4 linked regions of the Anolis sagrei genome follow. The protein of the gene in region 2 interacts with the protein of the main gene of each other region in a pairwise test. Links are inferred from orthologs where the notes say so. Each region holds a gene or a part of one and is shown on either strand. Other genes may lie near its edges.

Region 1 (7,586 bases), on a different chromosome or scaffold from region 2:
AGAGAAAAATACCATACAAGTTTTCAGAACAGAATTATTTTTTAAAAGTCAAATTATTGGTGAATGAAGGAGATAGTTTTCTTTACTAGTTGTACAAGTAAAAACTGGTCTAGAATATGACTTCTTAAACTGTGGATCACAACCCCAAATAAGATCCCTTTAACTCAATGTTGGTGTCGTCAAAAACTGGCAACAGTAATAATTTTCTGACTGCCATTTAGTTACTGTTTTAGAAATTTACACAAATTTGTCCAGCATTTACAATGGACTCTACATAAGATGCTTCATTAAAAACTGTTTAAAGGTAAAGGTTTTCCCCTGACATTAAGTCCAATGCTCATCTCCATTTCTAAACTGAAGAGCCAGCATTATCTGTAGACACCTCCTAGGTCATGTGGCCGGCATGACTGCATGGAGCACTGTTACTTTCCCACCGGAGCGGTACCTATTGATCTACTCACATTTGCATGTTTTTGAACTGCTAGGTTGGCAGAAGCTGGGGCTAACAGTGGAAGCTCATGCTGCTCCCCAGATTCAAACCTGTGACCTTTTGTCAGCGAGTTCAGCACCTCAGTGCTTTAACTCACTGCACCACCAGGGGCAGCAAGCCTTAAAAATGCCTCTAGAACATGGCCATATAGCCTGAAAAAACCTACAACAACCCACTTAAAAATGATGTTGTGTTATCCATATATGTTTGATATTTTTACCTATTTTATATACTTATATACCCAGGATCATGTAAAATTGTCTTGGGCCAAAAGGGGTCCGAAGTTGAAAAATTTAATAATAGCAACAATAAAAATATCTTTATTTATATCCCACCCCATCTCCCCAAAGAAGTCCTAGTCTAGAGTTCATATATCAGCTGTAGAACATAGAAAAATTACTTGGTTGAATGGTGAATCCCTGAGCTAGTATGGAGATGCGGGGAGCTTCCATCCAATGCAGTAACTTTTCCAAGCTTTGATGAGGTCAGAGCTTGTCAACAATATGATGAAGCTGTTATTGATATAAATGGGTTTGGTCCTGGACCAACAGATCCCAAATAACATAAAATCTGACTTGTTTATTGTGCATTGTGTGAGTTAATAAAAAAATAGATAGGGGAACTCTAAAAAATGGAGGTTAACTTTGACCTGTGGAGTTCAGGTAATACCTACAACTAATTTCTCAAGCAGAGAAAGAGGGTTAACATTAAGTTGCCTAAAGCATCCAGTAAGTTGAAATGAAATGGGCTTAGGTTTCCATCTTTTAAGTACTATTCAGCACTGCCACTGGCAACTGTTCTTAAGTCTTGGTTTGCCATGGTTTAAAACTGAGAATTGTAAAAAGTGGGTTAAACCAAGTAATCTATTTTCTAAAAGTGAATGGAGACAGTAATAAAGGATCATATCAAGCACTTCACTACAAAATAGGTTTTGCTGAATAAACCTGATTACTGTCTTCATGAACTGGGAAGGCAGAAAAATCCCTCTTCAAAAGTTTCCTTCAGTTAAAAGTTGTGTGGATTTTTTTTTAAAAAATATAAAACATCCATGACTGGGATCAGGATTATTGAATTTTATAATCTTATCATTCACTCACATCTCATTTTATGTAAGTGGCCCTCAATTTCACTAATATATTTTTAATTTTGACATTGATTTTGAATATGTATATTTGTTAGCAAAGTGTAGCCTCCCCAACATCCAATTTTATGAAAAACAGTGTGTGTGCTTTACATCTTGGTCCTGTCCTCTCCTTATCATTCTTTCCATGTATAGAAGCAATTAGCATTTCTTTAATCCTGGGGCATTCTGGGATTTAGAGCTCAAAAAGCTGACTATCCCATTCCCAGGCTCTGAATGTATACTAAATCCTTCTGAAGAAGTTATTTTGTCCATGCTCATATGTAAATTCCATTTTGCATGCTGTATGCCTCAAGTTCAGTCCACAGCAACTCCAGATTGGTTTTGATTTCAAATCGAATGCCTAATGATGGTAAAGACTCAGAGGTGTAACAAAATGACTCTGTGCGTATGCAAAATTGAGACATTGCCTCCCACTAAGAATTCTGCCCCTTCATGAAAATTTCCACTGTAGTTGTGTGTGCACTGGACCATGACTCTGAAGACTGGAGATCAATTTCCCTCTTAGCCATAGAAACTCACTGAGTGGCTTTGGATGAGCCAGACACTCAATCTCAAAAAAAGTTGATAAGTTAACTTTAGGTCACCATAAGACAAAAATGACTTGAAGGCACAACAAAATAAATTCCAGCCATGCAATAAGTTAGACACTGAAATTGTTTGAGCCTAGAATCCTTATATTTGCTGTGTTTGCATTCCCTGGTTAACTTTGGCTGCCCCTTTCCTTTGAATGCCTAAACTCCATTACTAAATACTGAACTAAAGTTTTAATTACCAATACTAGAAGTTTGAAAACTGAAGGAATTTTTATGGAGGGAGCAATGCCTTCACACACACACACACACACACACACACCTCACTCCAAAAGGTCATTTACTTGAAACATTTGAGATGTGCTGTCAGTCAGATAGTCATTACTGGGGTTGATGGAGTAACACCCTGATGTAAGTGTACAAGTACAGGACTGTGATCCTTAACATTTTAGTTTTACAACACTTACCTTTTCAGTTTATGTTTACGCCTATATGGCAAATAGGAGAGATAACTGCAGCATCTACTGTCATAACACTGACACTCAGTATTTGCATCTGTACAGCACAAACACTTGCAATTTCGATTAGTAGAACAGGAGCAACAGCAACAGCGGCAATTCGGATTCTCCGAGCATGAACAGTGGCAGCACTGGCACCTTGAATCTTCACGATGTGGGCAAAAACAGCAGTCCCACTGCCGCTCATCACTAAATAAGAACAGCCAACAAGAGCAGCATCTGCCAGAGGTTATATTATTCACAAAGTCTCGAAACTTGATGCAGAATCCACAACATTTACAACCTGGGCAACATGGGCATGTCCAGCAACATGCACAGCTCATGGCAGTCATGGTCTTCCCAGATATTTAAGGTTTCCCTTTTTTTAGTCCTAGAAAGCTTTACTTGCTGTTTATGTTTGCAGAGCAACTGCCCCATACTTTATTTTGGACCTCTGGAGAAAATACTGATCACTTGGGAAGAAAATGTGGCATCACAATGGGTTTTACCAATGAAAGCAGTGTCATAATGTATGTCATAATGACTAAAGCACTTGAGATTCCTGCACTGATATGTTCATATGACTAAACTGCACAAGAAATAATGCAATGAGGATCATTGTATTACTCTGATAAAAATTGCACTTTCTCTGGTCAACAGGATGATGTCAGCATGGAATCTTAAAATGACATGATTTATGTAAATACATTAATTTTGGCTATCATTTGATTTAGTATTCTCTATTGTTTTGCCAATGTTTTGTTATTATAAAAGAAACAGAAATATTAGAGCTATAAATACTCTACTTCTGAGCCAATCAGAAATTAAAGTAAAGTCATGATTCTGAGGATGAGGGCATGTTCATTCTGGGTAACAGTGCATGTGATCACTAGACTGAGAGACAAAATATCACATTTACTGGAAACATTAAAATACAATAAGAACTCAGTATTGTATTGCTGCTCTAACTATTTCTTATGTGCCAACACAATGTCTCCTCTTGTCTTACAAAATACATGTCTAGGCAATCTCAATTGTCTACGCTGGCTCCACAGAGTCGTCTTTGGATACTTACAGTGGGTTACAGTTATTGTTTTGGGTGAAAACTGGATTGATTAACATTTCTTTTTCTTTATAACTGATACTGATATAATGAATTATATTTCTCTGGCTACCAGGCATAAGACATTATCAGTCATTCCAACCAAAAAGACAGTCTTTGTGAGTGCTTCAGGAATTGCTGCATAATACTACTGCATTTAACATGCAACTGATATTTCCGTTACAGATGCTACTCATAAACTGGTTTGTGAGCTTCTGATGAGATCATTTGGTAATTAGAGCTGGGTTTCTGGGTGTTGTCTGAATTATTTCTGAACAATATACAAGTATCAAATTAATACTAAAAGACTGGAAAATATGTCCATCTAGCAGGACTTCTAGGAAACAATAACCCATGGAAATTAAGAGACTAAAGTGGACTAAAAGGCTCCATTTTCTATATTTTCATCTGTGAAGACTAAGGTTACTACCCCTGATAGTATCCCTGAAATCTCAGGTCCAGAACCTGAGAGTTACTGATGACATCATGTTGATGTCACAGGACACAGGGACTGGTGATATCATTATGCATGATATATCAAGCATCAACAGCAGTAGAAGAACAGAACATGCAATTCATTTTGAAAAATGGTCTAACAAATGAAGAAAATACAAACACACACCTGTTTAACCCCAAGATTCCTTCCCCTCAATCTCATATCTAGAAAAGAGTCGCCGAATTAGGCTGAAAAATGCGGTATAAAAATAAAGCAAATAAATAAATAAATAAATAAAGAGTAAATAAGCTTTAAGATATGGAAACCCTAATAAGGTCACCTAGCTATTGCTTCCAAGCTTTCTAGAATAGAAGCTGTCTTCTTGCAGTGTGGATCTGAGGAATACCTTTAGTACATGCATTAATTAACTTTACCAATGGCATCTGAAAACAAAGTACAGGTTAAAAATATAATAACAGAGCAAACTAAAACACTGTTTAAAAACCTTATTCTCTCTTATTTTGGGGCCATGGGCCTATTAACAGTTGAGTGAGACTTTGTGTTAAATTTTATTGGCTGAATCATCTTTAGGGCTAGATTTATGCTGCTCTGTATCCCAGGATCTGAACCCAAGTTATATGATTTGAACTGGATTATATGAATCTACACTGCCAGATAATCTGGGATAAGCAGATAATCAGGGATCTGATTATGCTAATATAATGCTATTTTTGTTCCCATGCCTAGCAATAGAACGAAGCAATTGCTTACCATCAAACAGTGATGGGGGGAGCACATTTTCCTAATGTCATCCAGCAAAGATTTGAAAAGAAATTTGGGGTCTACTATGATGCTTGCAAGATAGGATATTTGGAAATATGCTGGAACCCAGGATTTGGGAGAGGTTTCTAACCTATCATTGTTCATATTTTATGATCTAGGAAGGTACTATAATTACTTTTTTTAATGTCAGGAGCAACTTGAGAAACTGCAAGTAACTTCTGGTGTGAGAGAATTGGCTGCCTGCAAGGATGTCGCCCAATGGACATCCAGATGTTTTGCCATCCTGTGGGAGGCTCCTCTCATGTCCCTGCATGAGAAGCTGGAGTTACAGATAGGAGCTCACCCCACTCCCCAGATTCAAACCACCAACCTTTCAGTCAGCAGTTCTGCCGGCTCAAGGTTTAACCCATTGCACCACCAGGGCTCCACTATAATTACTGAATATTGATCAATTGACTTGTCCTGAAGATTTATTGATCCTATTTTGTTGAATGTGAACGAAGCAATTTTTGCAGAACACAGGGCAGGCTAATTATCTTCCAGCTGTTTTGACCCAAGCTGCTTAGAAACCAGCTTATTGCTGCTGCCTCACAGCCTCTCTCATCTGAGGTAACTCTCTGTAGAGCCAGTCCTGATTTTGAATTCAAATGTTCTCAGATTGAATCCTTGACATTTCCAACTGAAGGAGAGAATGGTGCAAATAACCTAATCTCCTGAAAGCATTTGGAGCCACTGCCAGGGAAAATAAGCCATTTTTGTTCTGAGCCTAAATCTAAAAGGACAAAGTCAATAATTGATTTCCCACTTATCCCCAAGATACAGATAAAAGTTCACATGGGAAAAATGTGTTTGTTGTGTGCCTTCATGTCATTTGTAGCTTATGGCAACCATAAAATGAAGCCAATGGGTTTCCATGACCATGCAGGGATGTGCATTCTTGTCTCCAGAATCATAGTCCAATGCTTAAACAATTACACAATTCTGGATCTCAGGGAAAAATTGATGAAATATTTTGAGAAAGAACACTGCTTAAATTGTAGGGTTTTTTCCCCCAAACATATGACATTATCCCATTTTGTTTCACATTTTTCATTTTTTGCTCCTAAAAATATATTTTCGCTTATCTTATTTTGTCTTTTCTGAGAGATAGATTATGGGGAACTATTTTGGATAGGCAATAAAATAATCTGACCTGGAATCAAGCAGTTTCCCATGGATTGTTTATGGTGGTTCCATACATAAAGCAACTATCAAGATTTTCTGGCAAACTAGGCAGCAAATTACATCCATCCTCCTTTCTGTAAGCTTTGAGTACCACTAATTAAAAATGAACACTAGAATCCTAACTGATCAACTTAAGAATAAACTTATAGAACCTATCTTGTGTATATATGGCTGGAGTTACACTTACAATATGTACCTGTTCTGACTTACATACAAATTCAACTTAAGAATAAACTATCTTGTTTGTAACTTGAGTCTATCTTGTTTGTAACTTGAGGACTGCCTGTATCTAGCTACATTACAGGGATCTTAAGAAATCCCTTTATTGAATAGGAAATATGTCTAACAGGACACCAATAAGAGTGTATCTGTGGTGCCCAATGTGCATAGAGACTGATGCAATGTGTGCTGGGATATGCAATCCACATCCCATTGTGCATAATCTCATTGCACATCCATTACTTTGCTCATTCTATTACATAGTAACATAACATCTGTTCACTCTATTTCATTGTAACAAAACAGCAGCTTTGGATGATGATGATGATGATGATGATGATGATGATGATGATGATGATGATGATGATAGATTTCAGAACAGTTCAGTATTAATTCCCACAGATGTAACTCCACTTATAAAAATGGAAGGTCCCAACAGGCTTCTGGCTGAAAGCTTTTGAATGTGAGGTTGATGGATCCATGCAATTTTTCACATATCCCTAAAGAGTCAGGAGATTACCCCACCTTAGCCCACTAGGATTACGACATCACAGCCTTTGTGAACAAATATGGTCCTTTAATATAAGGACAGTGACAGCAAAATTTTCTGGCAAACTAAGCAGAAAAAATATATCCATTCTCATCAGAGATTATATTAAGTTTGGATACCACTAATTAAAAATAAATACCAGAATCCTAAATGACCTGTTAAGTTATGTAACTTTATATGTCAGCCAGTGCCATTTTAATTCTTTCTCTCTTTTTTGGCAATTAGTAAGTGTTGTTTAAGTACTGGTATGCTGGTTGTCTTCTTCAATCTTGAATCTTGAAAATATTCTCAAAGCTTTATCACATTCTGGAAGTTCATGGGGTGTGATAATTCTGAACATGCCTACCTGATATGTATGTACAAGAGATTCATCCATTCATAATCAGCATAAATGGAGTATGGAAGCTTTATTTGACTTTGTGCATTGCCATTAGTAGCTATCTATCATCTCCACATTTATATTTTTACAAATTATATGTTCACATGAGGCACTCATAGCCAATAGGCTTTTGTTTCAAAAGATATCTTTTTGTTTGCATAGTATTTCTATTAAGTTTTTTATCTCTTTCCTTTGGAAAAATGGGGCAAGACAAAAAATTGAGTTCTGGCTC
Region 2 (7,321 bases):
AACTTGGCACACAAATGCCCCATGGGAGGGAATTGTGGGGGGGGGGGGGGGTGACCCAGGACAAAACAAGTTGTAGTCTGTCTACATCCAGAGATGACTGTGACCCCCACCAATGATGGTAACTGACCAAACTTGGCACACATGCCATCATGACCAACTTTACTGCTGGTGTTTGGGGGTGGGGTTGGACCTAAGACAATTGGAGTTGCAGGTCTCCCACAATCAAAGAACACTGTGAACCTCACCAATAATGGCTCTCTAGAACGAACTTGGCATACATACTCATCCTGACCAATTTTAATTGATGCTATTTAGGGGAGATGGACCAGGGATGATGAAGTGGTAGTTTATGCACTTTCGAATGGGACCATTCCTAAATTCTAATAACTAGCATTACAAATTACCTAATCCAGTCATCACCAGGCACTAAAGCTAGTAAATAAACAGGTTAAAAATCCAGTTGTAGCACAATAAAAACAAATTTTAAAACAATTTTAAATTAACACATGGATTTGTTAGTTTTTTGAACCAATTCCAAGCAAGCTATGTCCATATTATCGTCACAGAATTAGAAAACTTGGCAAAACGTGATGCTCAAACAGACATTTTTAAGACTGGATATAGTTTCATTTAAGTACTTGATACATGTAATTGCTACACTGTAATTATGTTACAGTTTCACTATTTAATTGTACATATTCATTCTCTTTTTTGCCCTTTGAAAAATTCGTATTTTGATGCACACCCAAATTAGTTTTATCCAACCTTCAGCAACTTATCTGTGGCCTTGTATAGTCACTGTGCCCATTCAGCAACAGGAACCCTTTGCTTCAGCTCAAGGTGATCTCTGTGCAGCGTGCACCATGCCAAGACCACACCATCATTGGCATCACTGCATTCTGCGCCATCTCACAATAGGAAAGAATCTTCTGCACAATATGGACCTTGCCAGCCTCACTGTATGGTGTTGATTAAAAATGGTCAAATTCTCAGCATAGGGGGGTTTACTTGGTCGGTATTTGAATAATTCGCCATAATAATCATATTAGAGAAGTGAAAAATATTAGTATTAATCATCAGTTTCCATAATGCTTGTCAACTTCTTTTTTTCTTTTTGGTGTCTTCAGTGCTTAAATTTCAGAGGTGAAACCTGCCTCCAATTCCTGACACAGACAGAAAATAAATTGATAGCTCTAGAGACAAACTGCACAGGGTTTTTTTTTTGTAAGAATAAAATGGAAAGTGCAGCAAGATGATGTGCATATCAAGTTCCCTGAGAGAAGGCAAGGATGCTAATTGTTTTAAATACAGTATGATTCTGAGGATGTATCCATAATGGCTTTGTGATTAACTTCACCTCACCCATCTGAGGTAAATGAGACTGAACGTGGATAGCTACTAAGGTATCCGTCAGTTTTTGTGGCTGAGACTACACACCAAAGTGCCTTTGTTGTTATTGTGTGCTTTCAAGTCTCTTCCGGCTTATGACAACCCTATGTTGAGTCCATTATGGGTTTTTCTGTGGCTGAAAGAGTGCCTCATCTAAGGTCACCCAAGAGGTTTCCATGGCCAAGACGGGATTTAAACCTGATCTCCAGACTCATAGTCCAACACCCAAACCACAACACTGCACTGGCTGCCAAAGAGCATTTACTTGGAACTTTATTTTTTTACTTCCACCATGCCTGGGCCCAGCAGATAAAAGGCCCTCACTCCATCCTAACTGCCACGGATGTGGCCTCAGAAGATGGAGACAGTATCTGCTGATCAGTTGTCCCTTATTTTGTTTTGTGTCAGTCATACCATTGTTGTTGAGCATGGACCACCCCCCCCCCCCCCGGGTCAAATTATATTGTTTTACTGGGTCTACGGCAGGGACAAGCTACAGCTAACAAGGATCTTTTATTTGGCAATATTCCTTTTTGCGGGTGATTGAGGGTCTGGAAGAGCCCTGCAGCAGCTATCAACACCCAGGAAACTTTTAGAACACTTTCCCCATTTGCTTAGTTATATTGCTTTCTAACCCTAAATAAATGTGCCACAAAGTGTGTTATCCTCTATGTCTGTCTCCATGCATCTTCCTTGCCTCCTGAGTATCTTTTTCTCCTGTCTTCACCCTCTGCAGCCGGCCTGGTGGCCACTTGGGCCACATGGCCCTCAGAAATGGGCTTATTCTCTCACTCTCCCCCACACTAACCACCCCCCTCATGTCCGTCAACCACTTTGCCAACTCCCCCACTCCTGTGGGTGCCCTGGTTCCCTCGGTAGGAGTCCCCAGTATCCATGGACCCCTATTTTTCCCATTTAATGTGTACATTTTATATTTTTATGAATAAAAACATTTTTTGATATGAAACCACCAATCAAGACCTTCTGGTGACCATTCTCCAGCACCTCATGATCCAGGAAATCCCCTCCAGCAATTTTCATGGGCATCATATTAATAATTAAGGATTCAATCACCCATCATCTTCGGGCCAGTCCATCTCTACTGGCCCCATAACTCCAGCTGTGCAGAGGACAACAGGAATCCAAGGTATGGGCCGCCTGTCCTTTGTGCAGCTACTTGGACAAAGACACTCATCACCTGGCATGACATCCCAACAATTGAAAAGTCATGCCTTGTTGGACAATACTCTGCAGGAAATACAATGGACATGAGCACTGCGGATGCTGGGCCCAACTTGATTGGGTCACTCAGAAACACAAAGACATTCCATAGAATGCATGGACTTGATAGCCTCTCTTTGTTCTGTCCCTCAATGCGACAAAAGTTATTCATCCAACTGTACTTTGTCTCCTGAACTAGCCTGCCCCTTGTCAGCCATTGGGGAATGAGAATCTGCATTGGAACCGGGGAATGTTCTCCCATTGGCTGGCAAGAGATGCAAGAGATGCAGCCCTGCCTCTGCAGGGAATCCTCCCTCAGCTGTTCATGATGTCCATGGAGCTTAGCCAATCATGGCGGGGCCAGTTCCAGCTGGGGCAGGAGCGGGAATTTCAAAGGGTTTCTGTCTATAAAAATGTATGTTTTGAACTGTATGGCATCTCAGCATACTTTGGCGGACTACCGTGAGCTGGCATCATTTCAACTGATTTGAATAAAATCCCTCAGTAGCTTCTTCTTCAACTTGGTTTGATTTATTTGGGACATTGGAATAGCTTCTTTGTCTTGCCAGGCACAGGGATCCAGAAGCGGCCTACATCCAGTACCAGTATCCACTTACTGGGACTTGGTATGCACATTACAGGTTTCGCTATACACAGTTGCTTTAAATTGTTTGATTTCAGTGTTATCAGTTTATTAAAGTTTCCGCCACAACGAAGACCAACCAGCGATGACGTCATTGAGGCCACTGAGAATAATGCCTTTCATTTTGCCTTCGATCCATCTGTGTCTCATCCGGCCTTCCGGGAAGCTTGACACACCAAGTCCCGAACCTTTGGCTCTTGCAGAAGCTGAAATCCACGTAAAATTAGGGTGCGTCTACACCGTAGAACTAATGCAGTGGACACACTTGAACTGCCCTGGCTCAATGCTTAACCCCCTACCAACCCCAGAGATTACTTTGGTCCGAGGACCAAAATTTGCTTGAAGTCCCCAACATCTGGACTTATCATCTGTCCTCTACTAGGCAGAGAGCCATCTCGGTTGTGGCCCCTTATTTATGGAATGCCTTGCCAGTTGAAACCCGAACCACCCAAGAGCTACTTGCTTTTCAGAAAGCCTGTAAGACCTTTCTTTTCCAACAAGCTTTCGATGGGTGAATAACTCAGGACTAAGTCGGTTCTCGTTTTTATTGTATTTTAAAGTTGGTTGTATTGTTTTAATCTACTTCTGTAAACCGCTCCGAGCCAAATTGGGAGTGGCGGTATACAAGTCAAATAAATAAATAAAATGCTAGGGAATCATGGGAGCTGTAGTTTGATGAGGCTCCAGCACTCTTTGGCAGAGAAGGACTGAAGTCTTGTAAAACTACAATTCCCACGATTCTATAGAATTGAGCCAGGGCCTTTCAAGTGGTGTCAGACTGCATACATTCCACAGTATAGGTGTCCTCTTAAATTGTGACTCTGAAAGCTGGAAAATGCTTAGGGGTTCTTTTAGGTGCAAAGCACCACATACAACGATAATGCTGTGCAGAAGTCTTTTACCACTGGTGTGATAAAAGACTTCTGAATGTGAAGAAATGCACGGGACCAGAATGAGCTGAGCTCACTCCTTGCCTGTCCCCTCACTCTCTCTTCCTCCGCCTCCCCACCCTCGAGAACAGTTGCTAGGCAACCTCTGCCAGGCAGGCAGGCAGCAGCGCAGAAGGCGCAGGATAATGACGTGGCCGGGCAGAATGTGTGGCTGGCGTCGCACGCTGCGTGCGTAGGCATCCTCCGCGCGCTGGACTGGACCCGGTGAGTGGATGGCGGCCCGCCCGCCCGCTCTTTCTCTCCCTCCCTCCCTCCCGCCGGGCCTTGCCAGGGGGCGGGGCTTCGGGAAAGGCTACAGATGGGCCTTCCGTACTTCCTGCCTCTAGGGCGCCGGAGGGCCAGGGGAAAAGGCCTCGGGGTTTCCAGAGCAGGAGGAGGTTCTTTCTTCCCACTTCCTCTGAGCCAGCAATAGGATGGGTGACACCTGACATGGCAGCAGGGTGTGCGAAAGGGAATGGGGGTGCATTCACACTGCAGAATTAACCCGGCTTTGCACTGCTTTAACTGCCATGGCTCGGTTTTGTGGAATCCTAGGGGTTGTATTGGTGAGGGTACCAGCCCTCTTGGAAAGAGAAGGCTGATAAAGGCTTTGTTAAACTACAGCTACCATTTTTTTTTCCGTATCAGGAGCGACTTGAGAAACTGCAAGTCGCTTCTGGTATGAGAGAATTGGCTGTCAGCAAGGCTGTTGCCCGAAGAGTCGGAGACGACTGAACGAATGAACAACAACAACAAAGGCTGTTGCCCAGGGGACGCCTGGATGTTTTTGCTGTTTTACCATCCTTATGGGAGGCTTCTCTCTTGTCCCCACACGGGGAGCTGGAGCTGACAGAGGGAGCTCATCTGTGCTCTCTCTCCAGATTTGAACCTCCTACCTGTTGGTCTTCAGTCCTGCCAGCACAATGGTTTAACCCAAGGGTCCTCAAACATTTTAAACAAAGGGCCAGGTCACAGTCGCTCAAATTGTTGGAGGGCCAGATTATAATTTGAAAAAAAGCATGAATGAATTCCTATCCACACTGTGCATATCTTATTTGTAGTGCAAAAAATAAATAAAAATAAAACACTTAAAACAATATGGTATTTAAAATGAAGAACAATTTTAACAATTACAAACTTATTAGTATTTCAATGGGAAGTGTGGGCCTGCTTTTGGCTGATGAGATAGGATTGATGTTGCTGTTGTTGTTGTGTGCTTTCAAGTTGTTTCAGTCTTAGGTTGACACTGAACAAGGGCCGGGTAAATGACCTTGGAGGGCCGTATCCAGTCCTCGGGACTTAGTTTGAGGACCCCTGGTTTAACCCATTGCGCCACTGGGGCTCCAACTACCATGAGTACCGCCCTGAAATGGACTGAAATGGGCAGGATAGAAATAATGTAAATAAATAAATAAATAAATAAATGATTTCATAGCTCTGAACCACAGCAGTCCAAACCGCATTCATTCTACAGTGTTGTTGTTATTGTTTATTTGTTTAATTGCTTCCAACTCTTTGTGACCTCATCGACCAGCCCACGCCAGATCTCCCTGTCTGCCGTGGTCACCCCAAGCTCCTTCAGAGTCTAGCCAATTACTTCAAGGATACCATCCATCCATCTTGCCCTTGGTTTGCCCCTCTTCCTTTTTCCTTCCATTTTCCCCAACATCATTGTCTTCTCCAAGCTTTCCTGTCTTCTCATTATGTGGCCAAAGTACTTCATTTTTGCCTCTAATATCCTTCCCTCCAATGAACAGTCAGGCTTTATTTCCTGAAGTATTCTACAGTGTAGATGCACCCCTTAGCAGGTTGGGAGCAGGGCTCAATGCAACCCAATGAATTTCGACAGGATCAAATGTGAGGTACTACATTTAGGCAATAAAATTGAATTCACAGATATAGGAGAAGTGACACTTGGCTTGACATCAGTCCATGTGGAAGGGATGTTGGAGTCTCAGAGGAACTACAAGCAACAGTCAGCAGTGTTATGCAGCAGCTAAAAGAGCCAATGTGATTTTAGGCTGTATCAGTAGTGTCAAGCTCGAGGGAAGTCATAGTCCCACTCTATTCTGCTTTGGTCAGATCTCACCTGGAATACTGTGTCCATTTACTGTATGGGCACCACAATTCAAGAAAGATATTGGCAAGCTGGAACGTGTTTAAGAAGGGCAACTGAAATGATCAAACGTTTGGAAACCAAACCCTATGAGAAGCGGGGGGTGTTTAGCTTGGAGAAGAGAACGCTGAAAGGGGACATGATGGCCATGTTTAAATATTTGAAAGGATGTCATTAGAAAGAGAGAGCAGGCTTATCTTCTGGAAAATAGGACAAAGAGCAATGGATTCAAATTGCAGGAAAAGAGATTCTACCTAAACTTTAGAAAGAACTTCCTGATGGTAAACGCTGTATGGCAGTGGAGTATGCTGCCTCAGAGTGTGGTTGAGTCTCCTTTGCTGGAGGTTTTTAAGCAGAAGCTGGATGGCCATTTGTCGAGAGTGCTTTGATGCCTGCATGCCAAGGGGTTGGCATGCAGGCATCAAATGATTCTGTTTGTAGAGTGCTTTCCATTTATTTCATAATGATCTCTCATAATTGTCTCCTTTTCAAGAATGAGTTATTAAGTGTTAATTTTTTAACCCGGGTGGCGCAGCGGGTTAAACAGCTGAGATGTGAACTTGCTGACCGAAAGGGTGGTTCAAAGCGGGGTCAGCTCCCACTGTTAGGCTCATCTTCTGCCAACCTAGCAGTTCAAAAACATAAAAATGTGAGTAGATCAATAGCTACTGCTTCTGCAGGGAGGTAACGGCATCCATACAGTCATGCTGGCCACATGATCTTGGAGGTGTCTACGGACAACCTCAGTTCTTTGGCTGAGAAATTGAGATGAGCAACCCTCCCCCCCCCCGAGTTGGACATGACTAGACTTAATGTCAGGGGAAACCTTTACCTTTACTTATGGTTCTAGGAACTTCATATACACTTCCTATTGTCTCATCCCTGTATACATATACACGCAGTTCCCCAAGTTACAAACCAGATAGGTTCTGTAGGTTTGTTCTTAAGTTGAATTTATAACTCCAGCCAAATATGTATGTGTATATGATTTGGATACATAGGAAAGAGTTAACACCCCTGTAA
Region 3 (7,588 bases), on a different chromosome or scaffold from region 2:
TCCATTCCATTCAATTCGTCCATGTTTGTCGTCGGATCTTCCTTTAGCTGCCAGCATGTCCAAAAGCTTGGTCCCATATCCAGGTCTTCAGTTTTTTCCTGAACGTCTGAAGGGAGGTCGCTGATCTAATTTCCCCGGGGAGTGAGTTCCACAGGTGAGGGGCCACCACTGAGAAGGCCCTGCTCCTCGTCCCCGCCAACCTCACTTGTGACAGTGGCGGAGTCGAGAGCAGGGCCTCCCCGGATGATCTTAAATTTCGAGATGGGATGTAGAGGGAGATCCGTTCGGACAAATACACTGGGCCGGAACCATATAGGGTTTTGTAGGTTAAAACCAGCACTTTGAATTATGCTCGGAATTGGATCGGCAGCCCGTGGAACTGATGTAACAGGGGGGTGGTGTGCTCCCTGTACGTCGCTCCGGTGAGCAATCTGGTTGCTTCTCACTGGACTAGTTGTAGTTTCCGAGCAGTCTTCAAAGGCAACCCCACGTAGAGTGCGTTGCAGTAATCCAACCGGGATGTGACAAGAGCGTGGACCACCGTGGCCAGATCCGACTTCCCAAGGTACGGGCGCAGCTGGCGCACAAGTTTTAATTGTGCAAAAGCTCTCCCGGCCACCGCCGAGACCTGGGGTTCCAGGCTCAGCGATGAGTCCAGGATCACTCCCAAGCTGCGAACCTGCGTCTTCAGGGGGAGTGTAACCCCGTCTAACACAGGCTGTAACCCTATTCCCTGTTCGGCCTTACGACTGACCAGTAGGACCTCTGTCTTGTCTGGATTCAATTTCAATTTGAGTTGCCCCTGGGCTGAGAACAGCAGTCTATAAGCACAGTAAATAAATATTTATTTATTTATTTATTTATTTATTTGCTGCATTTATTAACCGCCGTTCTCAGCCCTAGGGTGACTCACGGCGGTGTACAACATATAAAAGACAATTTACAATAAAGCCAAGACGACAAAAAACCAACATATCACTAACGCACAATCATCTAATTATACTAAAAATAATCCGCTCCATCTTATCGTGGAATCATAACCAATCTCGTAGTCCATATACCGTTCCAGTTGTCATTCCAGTTACTGTAGCACTCAGTTAAATGCCTTCTCGAATAGCCATGTCTTCAGGCTCTTAAGGAAGGACATAAGGGAGGGCGCCTGTCTGATGTCAACAGGGAGGGTGTTCCACAGCCGGGGGGCCACCACCGAGAAGGCCCTCTCTCTCGTCCCCGCCAGACGTGCCTGTGAAGCAGGCGGGATCGAGAGAAGGGCCTCCCCAGACGATCTCAAAGTCCTCGTGGGCTCATAGGCCGAGATGCGGTCCGAAAGGTATTTTGGGCCGGAACCGTTTAGGGCTTTGTAGGATAACACCAGCACCTTAAATTGGGCCCGGTAGCAGATCGGCAGCCAGTGGAGCTGGAACAACAAGGGCGTTGTATGCTCCCTGCGTCCCGCTCCAGTTAGTAACATGGCTGCCGCGCGCTGGACTAGCTGAAGCTTCCGGGCCGTCTTCAAGGGCAGCCCCACGTAGAGAGCGTTGCAGTAGTCGAGGCAGGATGTGACCAGAGCGTGCACCACCGTGGCCAAGTCAGACTTCCCAAGGTACGGGCGCAGCTGGCGCACGAGCCTAAGCTGTGCAAATGCTCCCCTGGTCACCGCTGAAACCTGGGGATCCAGGCTCAACGATGAATCCAGGATCACACCCAAGCTGCGAACCTGCGCCTTCAAGGGGAGTGCGACCCCATCCAACACAGGCTGTAACCCTATGCCCTGTTCGGCCTTGCGACTGACCAGGAGTACCTCTGTCTTGTCTGGATTTAATTTCAGTTTGTATAATTTAATAATTTAAATTAATTTAATAATTTAATTTAATAATGTATAATTGTATAATTTCAGTTTGTCTTGTAATAAGCAAGAATAGCTCACTGGCCAGCTTGATTGGCGCTGAATGGCCTCGCAGCTTCAAAGCCTGGCTGCTTCCTGCCTGGGGGAAACGTCAGGAGAGGGTCAAGCAGCCCGGAAGACGCATATGACAACTCAAGGCCTACTCAAAGCACTCAAGTTGGTCAGGGAGTCAGGCGGTGCGCGCCTCTTTTCGGGCCCTCCCGCTGCGAGGACTCACTTGTTGAGGTCAACCTCGTAGGTCTGCATCCGGGGCTTCTCTCCGCGCTTGTCCGGGTCCCACCGGTACACCGCGAACCGCTTGATCCGCGCCGCCGTCGCCGCGCTCGCCCTCACCGCCGCGGTCACCGCCGCCATCTTGTCCTTTCCTTCTCTCCGGAAGGGTCCGTGGTAACCACTTCCGGTAAGGGCGGGGAAGGAGAAAAAGGGAGCACGCGTCCTAGAAAAGGCGGCCATCTTGGAAAGGGCCGTTCCTCAGTCCGCAACTATATAGAACTTCAGCCGGCGGCCATCTTGGGTAGGGCCCTTCTCAGTCCGCAGCTATATTGAACTTCAGCCGGCGGCCATCTTGGGAAGGGCACTTCTCAGTCCGCAGCTGTATTGAACTTCAGCCGGCGGCCATCTTGGGAAGGGCCCTTCTCAGTCCGCAGCTATATTGAACTTCAGCCGGCGGCCATCTTGGGAAGGGCCCTTCTCAGTCCGCAGCTATATTGAACTTCAGCCGGCGTCCATCTTGGGAAGGGCCCTTCTCAGTCCGCAGCTATATTGAACTTCAGCCGGCGGCCATCTTGGGAAGGGCCCTTCTCAGTCCGCAGCTATATTGAACTTCAGCCGGCGGCCATCTTGGGAAGGGGCAAGAAGCCTCAGCTGGCGGCCATCTTGGGTTCTCCCTCCCTTCGCTCCCAGGCTTCTCTAGGGAGGGAATCCCAAAGGTCATCCAGTCCAGCCCCCCCAAAAAGAGAAATAATAACAAAAAGTATTATCATATTATTATATTATATATAATTATATATTATATATTATTATATTAAATGATAATATATATAGATAGATAGATAGATATTATCATTATGCTCTTAACACTATTAGTACTTTTGTTCTATAATAGTAGGAAAAATTTAATATTATTAATCATATTAATGTTATATTATAATAATATTAGTATATTATATGTATTATTAATAATAGTATTATTACATTATATTTATTATCAATAATAACATCAGTATATTATATTTATTATTAATATTAACAATAATATTAGTATTAATCATATTAGTATTATATTATAGCAGTATAATAATATTAGTATATTATATGTATTATTAAAAATAGTATTATTACAGAAGAACAGAAGAAGAAGAAGAAGAAGAAGAAGAATTATCAATAATAACATCAGTATATGATATTTAATATTAACAATAATATTAGTATATATATTTATAAATATTATCAATTATATTAATATAATATAAGTATTAATACTATTAATATATTAGTATATTATAGTTATTAATAATGTTATTAATAATATTGGTATAATATAAATATTAATAATATTAGTATATTATATTTATTAGTAATGTTATTGTGAGTCGCCTTCGGGCTTGAGATACAGCGGTATATAAGCAAAGTAAATAAATAAAATATAAATATTAATAATATTAGTATATTCTATTTATTAATAATGCTATTAATAATATTGGTGACTCACGGCGGTTCACAAACAGTAAAAACAGTAGAAACAGCAGTGGTTCCATACAACATATAACAATTGACTTAACACATTATCCATAAATTACCAATAAGCAATTACAATGCACAATTATTACAAAAAACAACCGTACCCAATCTTCTCATCATCCAAGTGTAGTCCAGATTCGTCGTCCATTGTTCCATTCCTATGTTCCATTACCAGATTGCACTAAATTACTCAAACGCCTGCACAAACATCCAGGTCTTCACCTTTTTGCGGAATACCATTAGAGATGGTGCTAGTCTAATGTCCGTAGGAAGGGCGTTCCACAGCCGAGGAGCCACCACCGAGAAGGCCCTATCTCTCGTCCCCGCCAGCCGAGCTTGAGAAGCAGGTGGGATCGAGAGCAGGGTCTCCCCGGAAGATCTCAAAGTCCTGGTGGGTTCATAGGCAGAGATGCGGTCAGATAGGTAGCTTGGGCCGGAACCGTTTAGGGCTTTAAAGGCCAACGCCAGCACTTTGAATTCAGCCCGGTAGCAGATCGGTAGCCAGTGGAGTTGGCGCAACAGGGGGGTTGTATGCTCCCTGTGCTCCGCTCCTGTTAAAATCATGGCTGCCGAGCGTTGGACTAGTTGGAGCTTCCGAGCTGTCTTCAAAGGCAACCCCACGTAGAGAGCGTTGCAGTAGTCTAAACGGGATGTAACCAGAGCGTGGACTACCGTGGCCAAGTCAGACTTCCCAAGGTACGGGCGCAGCTGGCGCACAAGCTTTAGCTGTGCAAATGCTCCCCTGGTCACCGCCGAGACCTGAATGTTATTAATGATTAATAACATTAGTTATGTTATGGTGTAGATATTATTCTATTTCCATTACTACCATATTGTCCTATAAGGCACCCCACGTGGGCAAGGAAAGAGGTTGCGGCCCCTTTAAGAGGCGTGGAATGTGAAAAGGAAACCTCAGGCGGGAACTAGCCAATCAGGGCGCGAGGCGTTGCTTACGTCACAGGGAAACCAACGTTCAAGTCCTGGGCTTCTGTTGTGCTTTCAGGTTTGCATTGAAACACTCCTTATTGCTATTTATATTCCTATTCCACTCTTCCAACTATTATATGTACAGGCACAAATATATTTAATTTAAATATCCATTTGTTTTATGTTGCTGTGTGTCTAATTTATATATAGCTTGGGGACCCGGGTTGGTCTTTATCAGTTATTTATATGGCTCACAGTGGTCTCAGGAAGTTAGTGAAGGTACAGCGAGTCCCATCATCCATTGTCCATCCTCCTCCAAACTGCACCAGGATATAGAGTGGGTCATGGGGACTCTGTGTGCCAAGTTTGGTCTTGATCAGTCATTGGATGAGGGTCAAAGTGGTCTCAGAAAGTGAGTTAAGGTACTTAAAGTCCCATCATCCATAGTCTGTTTTCCCCCAAACCTCACCAGAATGTTGAGTTGGGCATGGGGGCTCTCTGTGTCAAGTTTGGTCTTTATTGGTATTTGGATGAGGGTTGTTGTGGTTTCAGGAAGTGAGTGAAGGTACTGCAAGTCCCATCATCCATCGTCCATCCTTCAAACAGCACCGGGATGCAGGGTGGGTCATGGGGGCTGTGTGTGCCAAGTTTGGTCTTGATCGGTCATTAGATGTGGGTTGCAGTGGAGTGGAGGTACTTTAAGTCCCATCATCCATGGTCTGTCCTCCAAACTGCACCAGGGTGTACAGTGGGTCATTGGGGTTCTGTGTGCCAAGTTTGGTCTTGATCGGTCATTAGATGTGGGTTGCAGTGGAGTGGAGGTACTTTAAGTCCCATCATCCATGGTCTGTCCTCCAAACTGCACTAGGGTGTACAGTGGGTCATTGGGGTTCTGTGTGCCAAGTTTGGTCTTGATCGGTCATTAATGAGGGTTATAGTATCCTTGGGAAGTGAGTGGAGGTACTTGAAGTTCCATCATCCATGGTCTGTCCTCCTCAAAAGTGTGTGCCAAGTTTGGTCTTGATTAGTCATTGGCGAGGGTCTCAGAAAATGAGTGAGGTTACTGCAAATCCCATCATCCATCTCCATTTTTTTCCAAATGACACCAGGACATAAAGTGCGTCATGAGAGGTCTATGTGCCAAGTTTGGTCTTGATCAGTCATTGGATGAGGTTTGCAGAGGTCTCAGAATGTGAGTGAAGGGACTTCAAGTCCCATCATCCATGGTATGCCCTACTCCAAACCGCAGTGGGATGTAGAGTGGGTCATGGGGGCTCTGTGTGCCAAGTTTGGATTTGATCGGACATTAGATGAGGGTTGCAGCAGTCTTGGGAAGGGAGTGGAGGTACTTGAAGTCCTATCATCCATGGTCTGTCCTCCTTGAAAGTGCACCAGGATGTAGAGTGGGTCATGGGGACACTATGTGCCAAGTTTGGTCTTGATCAGTCATTGGCGAGGATCTCAGTGGTCTCAGGAAGTGAGTGAAGTGACTGCAAGTCCCATCATCCATTGTCAAATTCTTCCAAACCGCGCCAGGATGTAGAGTGGGTCATGCGGGTTCTCTGTGTAAATTGTGGTCCTGATCCATCATTGTTGGCAGTTGTAATGGTCTTAGGAAGGGAGTGCAGGTATTGCAACTCCCATCGTCCATGGTGCATCCTCCTTTAAACTGCACCAGGATGTAGAGTGTGTCATGGAGACTCAGTGTGCCAAGTTTGGTCTTTATCGGTAATTGGATGAGGGTTGCAGTGGTCTCAGGAATTGAGCAAAGGTACTGCAAGTCCCATAATCCATGGTCCACCAAACCACACCGGGACGTAAAGTGGGTCATGAGAGGTCTATGTGCCAAGTTTGGTCCTGATCAGTCATTGGATGAGGTTAACAGCGGTCTCAGAATGTGAGTGATGGGACTGCAAGTCCCATCATCCATGGTTCATCCTCCTCCAAACTGCAGTAGGATGTCGAGTGGGTCTTGCGGGCTCTGTGTGCCAAGTTTGGTCTGTAGTGGTAATTTTCTGACTCCGCCCCTCTCTTTGTCATCTCGGAATCTTGGAATTGGGGCTGGCCAATCAGAGACCATATGCAAATTTCCTTCTCATGTCCCCGTTTCTTTTCTCCACCAGGGGCTCCTATTGAAGCTGGCCAATCAGAGACCATATGCAAATAGCACCACAGCGGCAGCCAATCAGAACGCTGGCACATACTCCTCCCACCACACTTTTGTCCTCCGCATACAAACTTTGACTTTTATTATATAGATAGATAGATATATATATAAATATAGATAATAGTAACCAACTTACTTAATCAATAATAATAATAATAATAATAATAATAATCTTACTATTTCTGGAAGCCGGAAGATGGACTTGGAGAAGCTTCGCCTCTTGAACCAGGATCTCTTGCAGAAGCTGAAAGCGAACCAAGAAGCCTTAGGGAAGCGAGTCCCATCGTCCACAACCCTGCAGAAGGAGGTATGATAGGAAGGGGACCCCAAAGGTCCTCCAGTCCGATCATAGGGTTGGAAGGGTCCCCAAGGCTCATCTAGTCCAATCGTAGAGATGGGACCTCCAAAGATCATCTAGTCCGATCATAGCGTTGGAAGGGACCCCTAAGGTCATCTAGTCCGATCATAGAGGTGGAAGGTGACCCCAAAGATCATCTAGTCTGATTACAGCAGTGGAAGGGAACCCCAATGGTCATCTAGTCAAATTGTAGGGCTGGAAGGGACCCCCAAAGGTCATCTACTCTGAGTACAGAGATGAAAGTGACCCCAAAACTCATCTAGTCCAATCTTGGGGTTGGAAGGGACCCCAAAAGTCATCTAGCCCTATCTTAGAGATGGAAGGGACCTGTAAAGGTCATCTAGTCCAATCATGGGGTTATAAGGGAACCTGAAGGCCATCTTGTCCAATTCTAGAGATGGTAGGGATCTCCAAAGGTCATCTAGTCCAGTCATACAGATAGAAGTGACCCCAAAGATCATCTAGTTTGATCATGGAAGGGGACCCCAAA
Region 4 (7,274 bases), on a different chromosome or scaffold from region 2:
TTCAAGCAATAGCTGGTTGAACCCATGGATACAGAACCTGTGGATACGGAACCCGTGGATACGGAGGGTCATCCGAACCTATTGCTATAAAAGTTAGTACAGGTTTCTCCTCATTCAGAGTACATCGATATCTACGGTGAAGAACTGATGCAGTTTGGCATCACTTTAGCTACCCCAGCTCAATGCTATGGAGTCATGGGAGTTGTAGTTTTGCAAGGTATTTAGCATTCTCTTCCAAAGAATGCTGGTCCCTCACCAAACTACAGCTCTCACGATTCCGTAGCACTAAGTTATGGTAGTCAAAGTAGTGTCAAATTCCATCGATTCTACAGTGTAGATCAGGCATGGGCAAACTTCAGCCCTCCAGGCAAAGGCGGCCCTAGGTAATTTTCAATGGTAAGCAAACAGTATTTTGGCGCCCCAACCAACCAATCACTGATATATATTTTCTGTTCGTTGTGGGAGTTCTCTGTGCCATATTTGGTTCAATTCCATCCTTGGTGGAGTTCAGAATGCTCTTTGGTTGTAGGTGAACTATACATCCCAGTAACTACAACTCACATATGTCAAGGTCTATTTTCCCCCAAGAGCACCTCAAGAGCGCCCCTGGACAAAACAAACTATACTGCAAATGCTTACTTTGCGTAATGGGTTGAGCTGCCCCTGCCTCCAGGTATATGGGACCTCAACTCCCATAATTCCTAATAGCCAGTAGGCTGTTAGGAATTGTGGGAGTTGAAGTCCAAAACTGCCTTTTCCTCTCCTTTGCTTCAGTTTCCCCTGTTCATAGAATTTCCTAATAGTGTAGACACCTTCCTTTGTATTAGTTTTGGGTGGAGCATAACACCCCCCAGAAGCCAGCCTTAGTTAGTCTATTCCATTTCCCTGTATAGAGCTCTCTTGCTGGGCTCCTCCCTTTTCTACAGTCACTAGAGACTTGGGGCATTGTCTAGTAATCCTAGGCCAAGCAATCCAAAAACAGGCATCCTTAGCACCTGCATTTAGCAGTATTTTTACACCATCTGTCCACAGGACAACAGAAGCTTTTGGCCAGCCTAAGTTTCATAAGGAAGAAGATTGAGACAGTTTATAACCATCGCTTTGCGCCAGAGGCAAAAGACTTTCAAAGATTCCAGAAAGATGGCTGCAACCAGCAAAATCCCCTTTTGTAATGTATTGTTTTAACTTACCTTATGCTAGTCCTGAGTGGAGTTAACCCTTTACTCATCTTGTTTCAGTAAACTCATTTGGTTATCTTTTCACCTTGCCTCAAAGTGTGTCTGTCTTCTAAGGGTCTTAATTTTAACAGAAGGTATCAGATAGCTAACAAGTAAAGCCAGACGATATAGTTTTCCCAAAGGCTCGGGCATGTCATCACACCTGATGTAGATGCACGCATAGACTATGGGGAGAAGTGTGATTGAGATTGCCGCTTGATAATAAGTTTGTTAAAATAAAGGTAAAGGTTTCCCCTTGACATTAAGTCCAGTCGTGTCCGACTCTGGAGGGTGGTGCTCATCTCCATTACTAAGCTGGCATTGTCCGTAGACACCTCCAAGGTCATGTGGCCAGCATGACTCCATGCACATAGGTACCTTCCCTCCGAAGTGGTACCTATTGATCTACTCACATTTGCATGTTTTTGAACTGCTAGGTTGGCAGATGCTGGGGCTAACAGCAGGAGCTTACCCCACTCCCCCGATTTGAAGCACTGACCTTTCAATCAGGAGGTTCAGCAGCTCAGTGGTTTAACCCACTGTGCAACCAGGGGGCCCAAGTTTGTTTACAGGTCCATAGTCACTTTTCTGATTGACAGGTATGGCACATTTTCCCCTTGGCTCTGGAACAAGGTTCGCCACTGAGATTTTTCTATGGCAATAAAAAGTCAGGAATCCAGGGTGTTTCCCTCCATTATGGAAAGGAGTGGTATCAGATTCATAGAATGGTGACCAGCCTTGGCAAACAAAGCTTCAGAATGTGTTCCAAAAGTACTCCACCTTGGTTATCACCTTTGGATGCGTCATGGGCCAGCCATTTCTATTGTCCTCCTAGTGTGCATCTACACTGTAGAATTAAATCAGTTTGACACCACTTGAACTCTCAGGGCTCACTGCTATGGCATCCTGGGAGTTTTAGTTTTGTGTGACAGCAGCACTTTGCCAGAGATGGCTGAAGACCTTGTTGAACTACAATTCCCAATACTGTCTTGATAGTAAGAACTTTTTTGACAATGGAATATGTTTCCTTGGGAGTCTGGTGGGGTCTTCCTTGAAACAGAGGCTGGGGGACATGTGAAAAAGAAATCCTTGTGGACAACAAGTTAAACATGAGCCAACAATGTGTTGCTGCAGCTAAAAAAAGCCAATGGGATTTTGGCCTGCACCAATAGGAGTCTAGTATCTCGATCTAGGGAGGTCATGCTCCCCATGCTCTATTCTGCCTTGGTTAGACCACACCTGGAATCCTGTGTCCAATTCTGGGCACCACAATTGAAGAGAGATGTTGACAAGCTGGAATGTGTCCAGAGGAGGGCGACTAAAATGATCAAGGGTCTGGAGAACAAACCCTATGAGGAGTGGCTTAAAGAGTTGGTATGTTTAGCTTGAAGAAGAGAAGGCTGAGAGGAGACATGATGAGGGCCATATATAAACAATGGCTTCAAACTGCAGGAAAGGAGATTCTACCTGAACATTAAGAAGAACTTTCTGACTGTGAGAGCTGTTCAGCAGTGGAACTCTCTGTCCCAAAGTGTAGTGGAGGCTTTGTCTATGAAGGCTTCTAAACAGAGGCTGGATGGACACAATACGCTTATTAGGCCAACGAGTGACCATCACTCATAAAAACATTGAAAAACACAGCAAAAGAGACTTTTAAAGCCAAAAAACCAAAAAAAATACATTACAACTCATGCCCAAAAGCACATATATACACAAACACACATATATACACATATCCACAAATATAAACACACATATATGCACACACAAAACACATATACACAGAAAGGGGGAAGGAAGGAAGGAGAGGAGGAAGAGAAAGAGTGAAAGAATCATAGAATCAAAGAGTTGGAAGAGACCTCATGGGCCATCCAGTCCAACCCCCTGCCAAGAAGCAGGAATATTGCATTCAAATCACCCCTGACAGATGGCCATCCAGCCTCTGTTTAAATGCTTCCAAAGAAGGAGCCTCCACCACACTCCGGGGCAGAGAGTTCCACTGCTGAACGGCTCTCACAGTCAGGAAGTTCTTCCTCATGTTCAGATGGAATCTCCTCTCTTGTAGTTTGAAGCCATTGTTTCGTGCCCTAGTCTCCAGGGAAGCAGAAAACAAGCTTGCTCCCTCCTCCCTGTGGCTTCCTCTCACATATTTATACATGGCAATCACGTCTCCTCTCAGCCTTCTCTTCTTCAGGCTAAACATGCCCAGTTCCCTAAGCCGCTCCTCATAGGGCTTGTTCTCCAGACCCTTGATCATTTTAATCACCCTCCTCTGGACACATTCCAGCTTGTCAATATCTCTCTTGAACTGTGGTGCCCAGAATTGGAAGGAAAGAGAAGGAGGGAAAGAGAGAAGAAAGGAAAGAGAGAAAGGTAGAGAAGGAAGGAAGGGCAAAAGTAAATAAAAAGTGAAAGAAGGAAGGAAAGAGAGGGGGAAGGAAGGAGAGAAGGAACGAAAGAGAGGAAGAAAGAGGGAAGGAAGAAAAGAGACAAGGAAGGATGGAACCAAAGAGGAAAGTAAGCGAAGAAAGAAACAGAGAAGGAAGGAAGAAGAAGGAAAAGAGGGAAGGGTAAGAAAAAAAAGGGAAGGAAGGAGAGAAAGAAAGAAAGAAAGAAAGAAAGAAAGAAAGAAAGAAAGAAAGGAGAGAAAGAGGGAGGGAAGCTTGGCCACAGCAATGCGTGGTGGGTACAGCTAATAGGTATAATATAAAAATACTCAGCCACGCCACGCTACGCATTAATCAGTGTTTGCCACATATTAATGGGTGGCAGCGGTGGAATAATCAAATAAAAGTCCTCCCTTCCTGAAGATTGATTCCTGGATTTCCTGGGTTGTCCGCTTCATCAGTTAAAGCAGCATCAAACTGCTATATAGTACAGATACACCCTTGGGCCATGCCTGGGATAATCCCTTCTGCTCCATAATTCCACTAAATTGCGACCTTTCCCCCCAAGTAAACATACTGTTTCTTTAAAATAAAAGGGCAGAAGTCAGGCTGGGTATTAAGCCCTGGAATGAGGGTGTAACCGGTTCAGCAAATGACACTCACACAAAGGTGGTGCTTTAGGCGATGCCAACCGAGTTGAGTTGTGTGTCTTCGGAGGGGTCGAGAATGGGAGGAACTGATTTCTTGACCTGGCTATTAGTCACAGCTGACTAATGTGTGTGTTTGTGTGTCAGGAAGGTGGGAGAGAAGGAGCAGTGAGAATGCTGGACGGCTACTTTCCTTCCTGGCGCATGAATGCCTTCGCTCTCCAAAAAGGCTCGTTGCCAGAAGAGTGACAAATACTTCCGCCTGCAGACTCTCCAATGCACTTGTAACCTGTGGCTGCGGAGTGGCAGCGGGACAGACACCACTGCAAGTGTATGAGTTACTACCAGGTTCTGATAGAGAGAGATTACAGAGAGAGAAACAAGAAATAAGTCTCTGCACCTGTCTTGCCTACACACCTGTGGATTTCTCTGGCCGTCTTCCTGGAGGGGCAGAAGGAAGGATGAGCATTTCCTCGGAACCCAAATCCTTCCCAAAACAAAATGTAAACAGTCTCCAAACGGTGAGTGAGAAAAGACAAGGGTTTAGAAGAGAGTTAAATTGCACCCCTAAATTTGATGCCCCACATAAGAAAGTTCCTTCCATTGCAAAGAGTGAGACACTACAACAGTGCTTCCTAATGCTGCGACCCCTTAATACAGTTCCTCATGTTGTGGTGACCCCCAACCATAACATTATTTCCGTTGCTACTTCGTAACTGTAATTTTGCTACTGTTATGAATCGTAATGTCAATATCTGATATGCAGGATGTATTTTCATTCACTGGACAAAATATGCCCAAATTTGGGGGGAGGAGCTGTAGTTGCTGGGATTTACAGTTCACCTACAATCAAAAAAGCATTCTGAACTCCAACAATGGTGGAATTGGACCAGACTTGGCACACAGAACTCCCATGACCAATAGAACATAGAGCACTGTGGACTCAAACAATGATGGATACGGACCAAATTTGGCATAAATACTAATACTGAATATGCTCAAATGTGAACACTGGTGGAGTTTAGGGAAAATAGACCTTGACATTTGGGAGTTGTCGTTGCTGGGATTTATAGTTTGCCTACAACCAAAAAAGCATTCTGAACTCCACCAATGATGGAACTGAACCAAACTTGGCACACAGAACTCCCATGACCAATGGAACATAGAGCACTGTGGACTCAAACAAAGATGGATACGGACCAAATTTGGCATAAATACTCAATATGCTCAAATGTGAACACTGGTAGAGTTTAGGGGAAATAGACCTTGACATTTGGGAGTTGTCGTTGCTGGGATTTATAGTTCACTTACAATCAAAAAAGCATTCTGAGTTCCACCAATGATGGAATTGAACCAAACTTGGCACACTGAACTTCCACAATGAACAGAAAATACTGGAAGGGTTTGGTGGGCATTGACCTTGAATTTTGGAGTTGTAGTTCACCTACAGCCACAGAGCACTGTGGACTCAAACAATGATGGATACGGACCAAATTTGGCATAAATACTCAATATGCCCAAACATGAACACTGGTGTAGTTTGGGGAAAATAGACCTTGACATTTGGGAGTTGTCATTGCTGGGATTTATAGTTCACCTACAATTAAAAAAAGCATTCTGAACTCCACCAATGATGGAATTGAACCAAACTTGGACACAGAACTTCCACGACGAACAGAAAATACTGGAAGGGTTTGGGTGGGCACTGACCTTGAATTTTGGAGTTGCAGTTCACCTACAGCCAGAAATCACTCTGGACTCAAACAATGATGGATCTGGACCAAACTCTACACGAACACTCAATATGCCCAAATGTGAACACTGGTGGAGTTTGGGGAAAATAGGCCTTGACATTTGGGAGTTGTAGTTGCTGAGATTTATAGTTCACCTACAATCAAAGAACATTCTGAACCCCACCAATGACAGAATTTGATCAGATTCTCATACAGAACCCCTATGACCAACAGAAAATACTATGTTTTCTGATTGTCTTTGGTGACCCATCTGACACCCCCTTGCGATCCCCCAGATGTAAATGTAATAATGACAATAATAGAGTAAAATAATAAATGTAATAATTATAGGATAAAATAATGTAAATGTAATAATAATAAATAGAGTAAAATAATAAATGCAATAAAATAATAGAATAAAATGATGTAAATGTAATAATGACAATAATAGAGTAAAATAATAAATGTAATAATAGGATAAAATAATGTAAGTGTAATAATAATAATAGAGTAAAATAATAAATGTAACAATAATAGGATAAAATAATGTAAGTGTAATAATAATAATAGAGTAAAATAATGTAAATGTAATAAGAACAATAATAGAGTAAAATAATAAATGTAATAATAATAATAATAGGATAAAATAATGTAAATGTAATAAGAACAATAATAGAGTAAAATAATAAATGTAGTAGTAATAATAATAATAGGATAAAATAATGTAAACATAATAATAATAAATAGAGTAAAATAATGTAAATGTAATAATAACAATGATAGAGTAAAATAATAAATGTCATAATAATAATAATAGGATAAAATAATGTAAATGTAATAATAATAATAATAATAACAGACTAAAATAATAAATAACTTTGACTCGAGGATAAGACGAGGGGGGCTTTTTCAGCCTTAAAAAAGGCTGAAAAACTAGGCATACACTCAAGTATCTACAGTATATATTCTATGTGTATATAATGAACAACATTTGGGCGTGTGCCATAATCAATCATATGTATATGTCATGACATGCCAACACCTGTAATATAAACAGAGATTCCTCACCTCCTCCAGGTTAACCTCTCTCCTCCCCTCTCTTTTCCCAGCTTTGTCGTGAGACATTTTGATCCTGGAGAGAAAACAATCCACCAGTCTTCGAGTGACAAAACAGTAAATTAAATCAATGGCAAAGGAATCTGTCAAAGTAGCTATTTTTTTCCATGTCTGGAACAACTTTAGAAACCGCAAGTTGCTTCTGGTGTGAGAGAACTGGCCGTCTGCAAGGAC

The links.
Region 1: the proteins of STK16 (region 2) and TRIM42 interact in binary tests that used the Homo sapiens proteins (3 or more experiments, as listed by UniProt). The two-hybrid records come from large-scale screens. The link is inferred for Anolis sagrei from reciprocal best matches to the Homo sapiens genes STK16 and TRIM42.
Region 3: the proteins of STK16 (region 2) and MIIP interact in binary tests that used the Homo sapiens proteins (3 or more experiments, as listed by UniProt). The two-hybrid records come from large-scale screens. The link is inferred for Anolis sagrei from reciprocal best matches to the Homo sapiens genes STK16 and MIIP.
Region 4: the proteins of STK16 (region 2) and KCTD14 interact in binary tests that used the Homo sapiens proteins (3 or more experiments, as listed by UniProt). The link is inferred for Anolis sagrei from reciprocal best matches to the Homo sapiens genes STK16 and KCTD14.

The regions. Positions count from the first base shown.
Region 1 is NC_090023.1:230,542,900-230,550,485, reverse strand, and holds the start of TRIM42 (tripartite motif-containing protein 42), read right to left. Parts: upstream 3,015-7,586; coding exon 2,632-3,014; intron 1-2,631.
Region 2 is NC_090021.1:230,318,238-230,325,558, forward strand, and holds the start of STK16 (serine/threonine-protein kinase 16), read left to right. Parts: upstream 1-4,315; 5' UTR 4,316-4,407; intron 4,408-4,474; exon of another isoform or gene 4,475-4,643; intron 4,644-7,111; exon of another isoform or gene 7,112-7,321. UniProt on the Homo sapiens protein: Membrane-associated protein kinase that phosphorylates on serine and threonine residues. In vitro substrates include DRG1, ENO1 and EIF4EBP1. Also autophosphorylates. May be involved in secretory vesicle trafficking or intracellular signaling.
Region 3 is NC_090033.1:7,882,060-7,889,647, forward strand, and holds the start of MIIP (migration and invasion-inhibitory protein), read left to right. Parts: upstream 1-4,575; 5' UTR 4,576-4,649; intron 4,650-6,929; 5' UTR 6,930-6,936; coding exon 6,937-7,047; intron 7,048-7,588. Other genes in the region: SDHB (succinate dehydrogenase [ubiquinone] iron-sulfur subunit, mitochondrial), read right to left, coding at 2,124-2,260.
Region 4 is NC_090023.1:10,031,045-10,038,318, reverse strand, and holds the start of KCTD14 (BTB/POZ domain-containing protein KCTD14), read left to right. Parts: upstream 1-4,274; 5' UTR 4,275-4,712; coding exon 4,713-4,772; intron 4,773-7,274.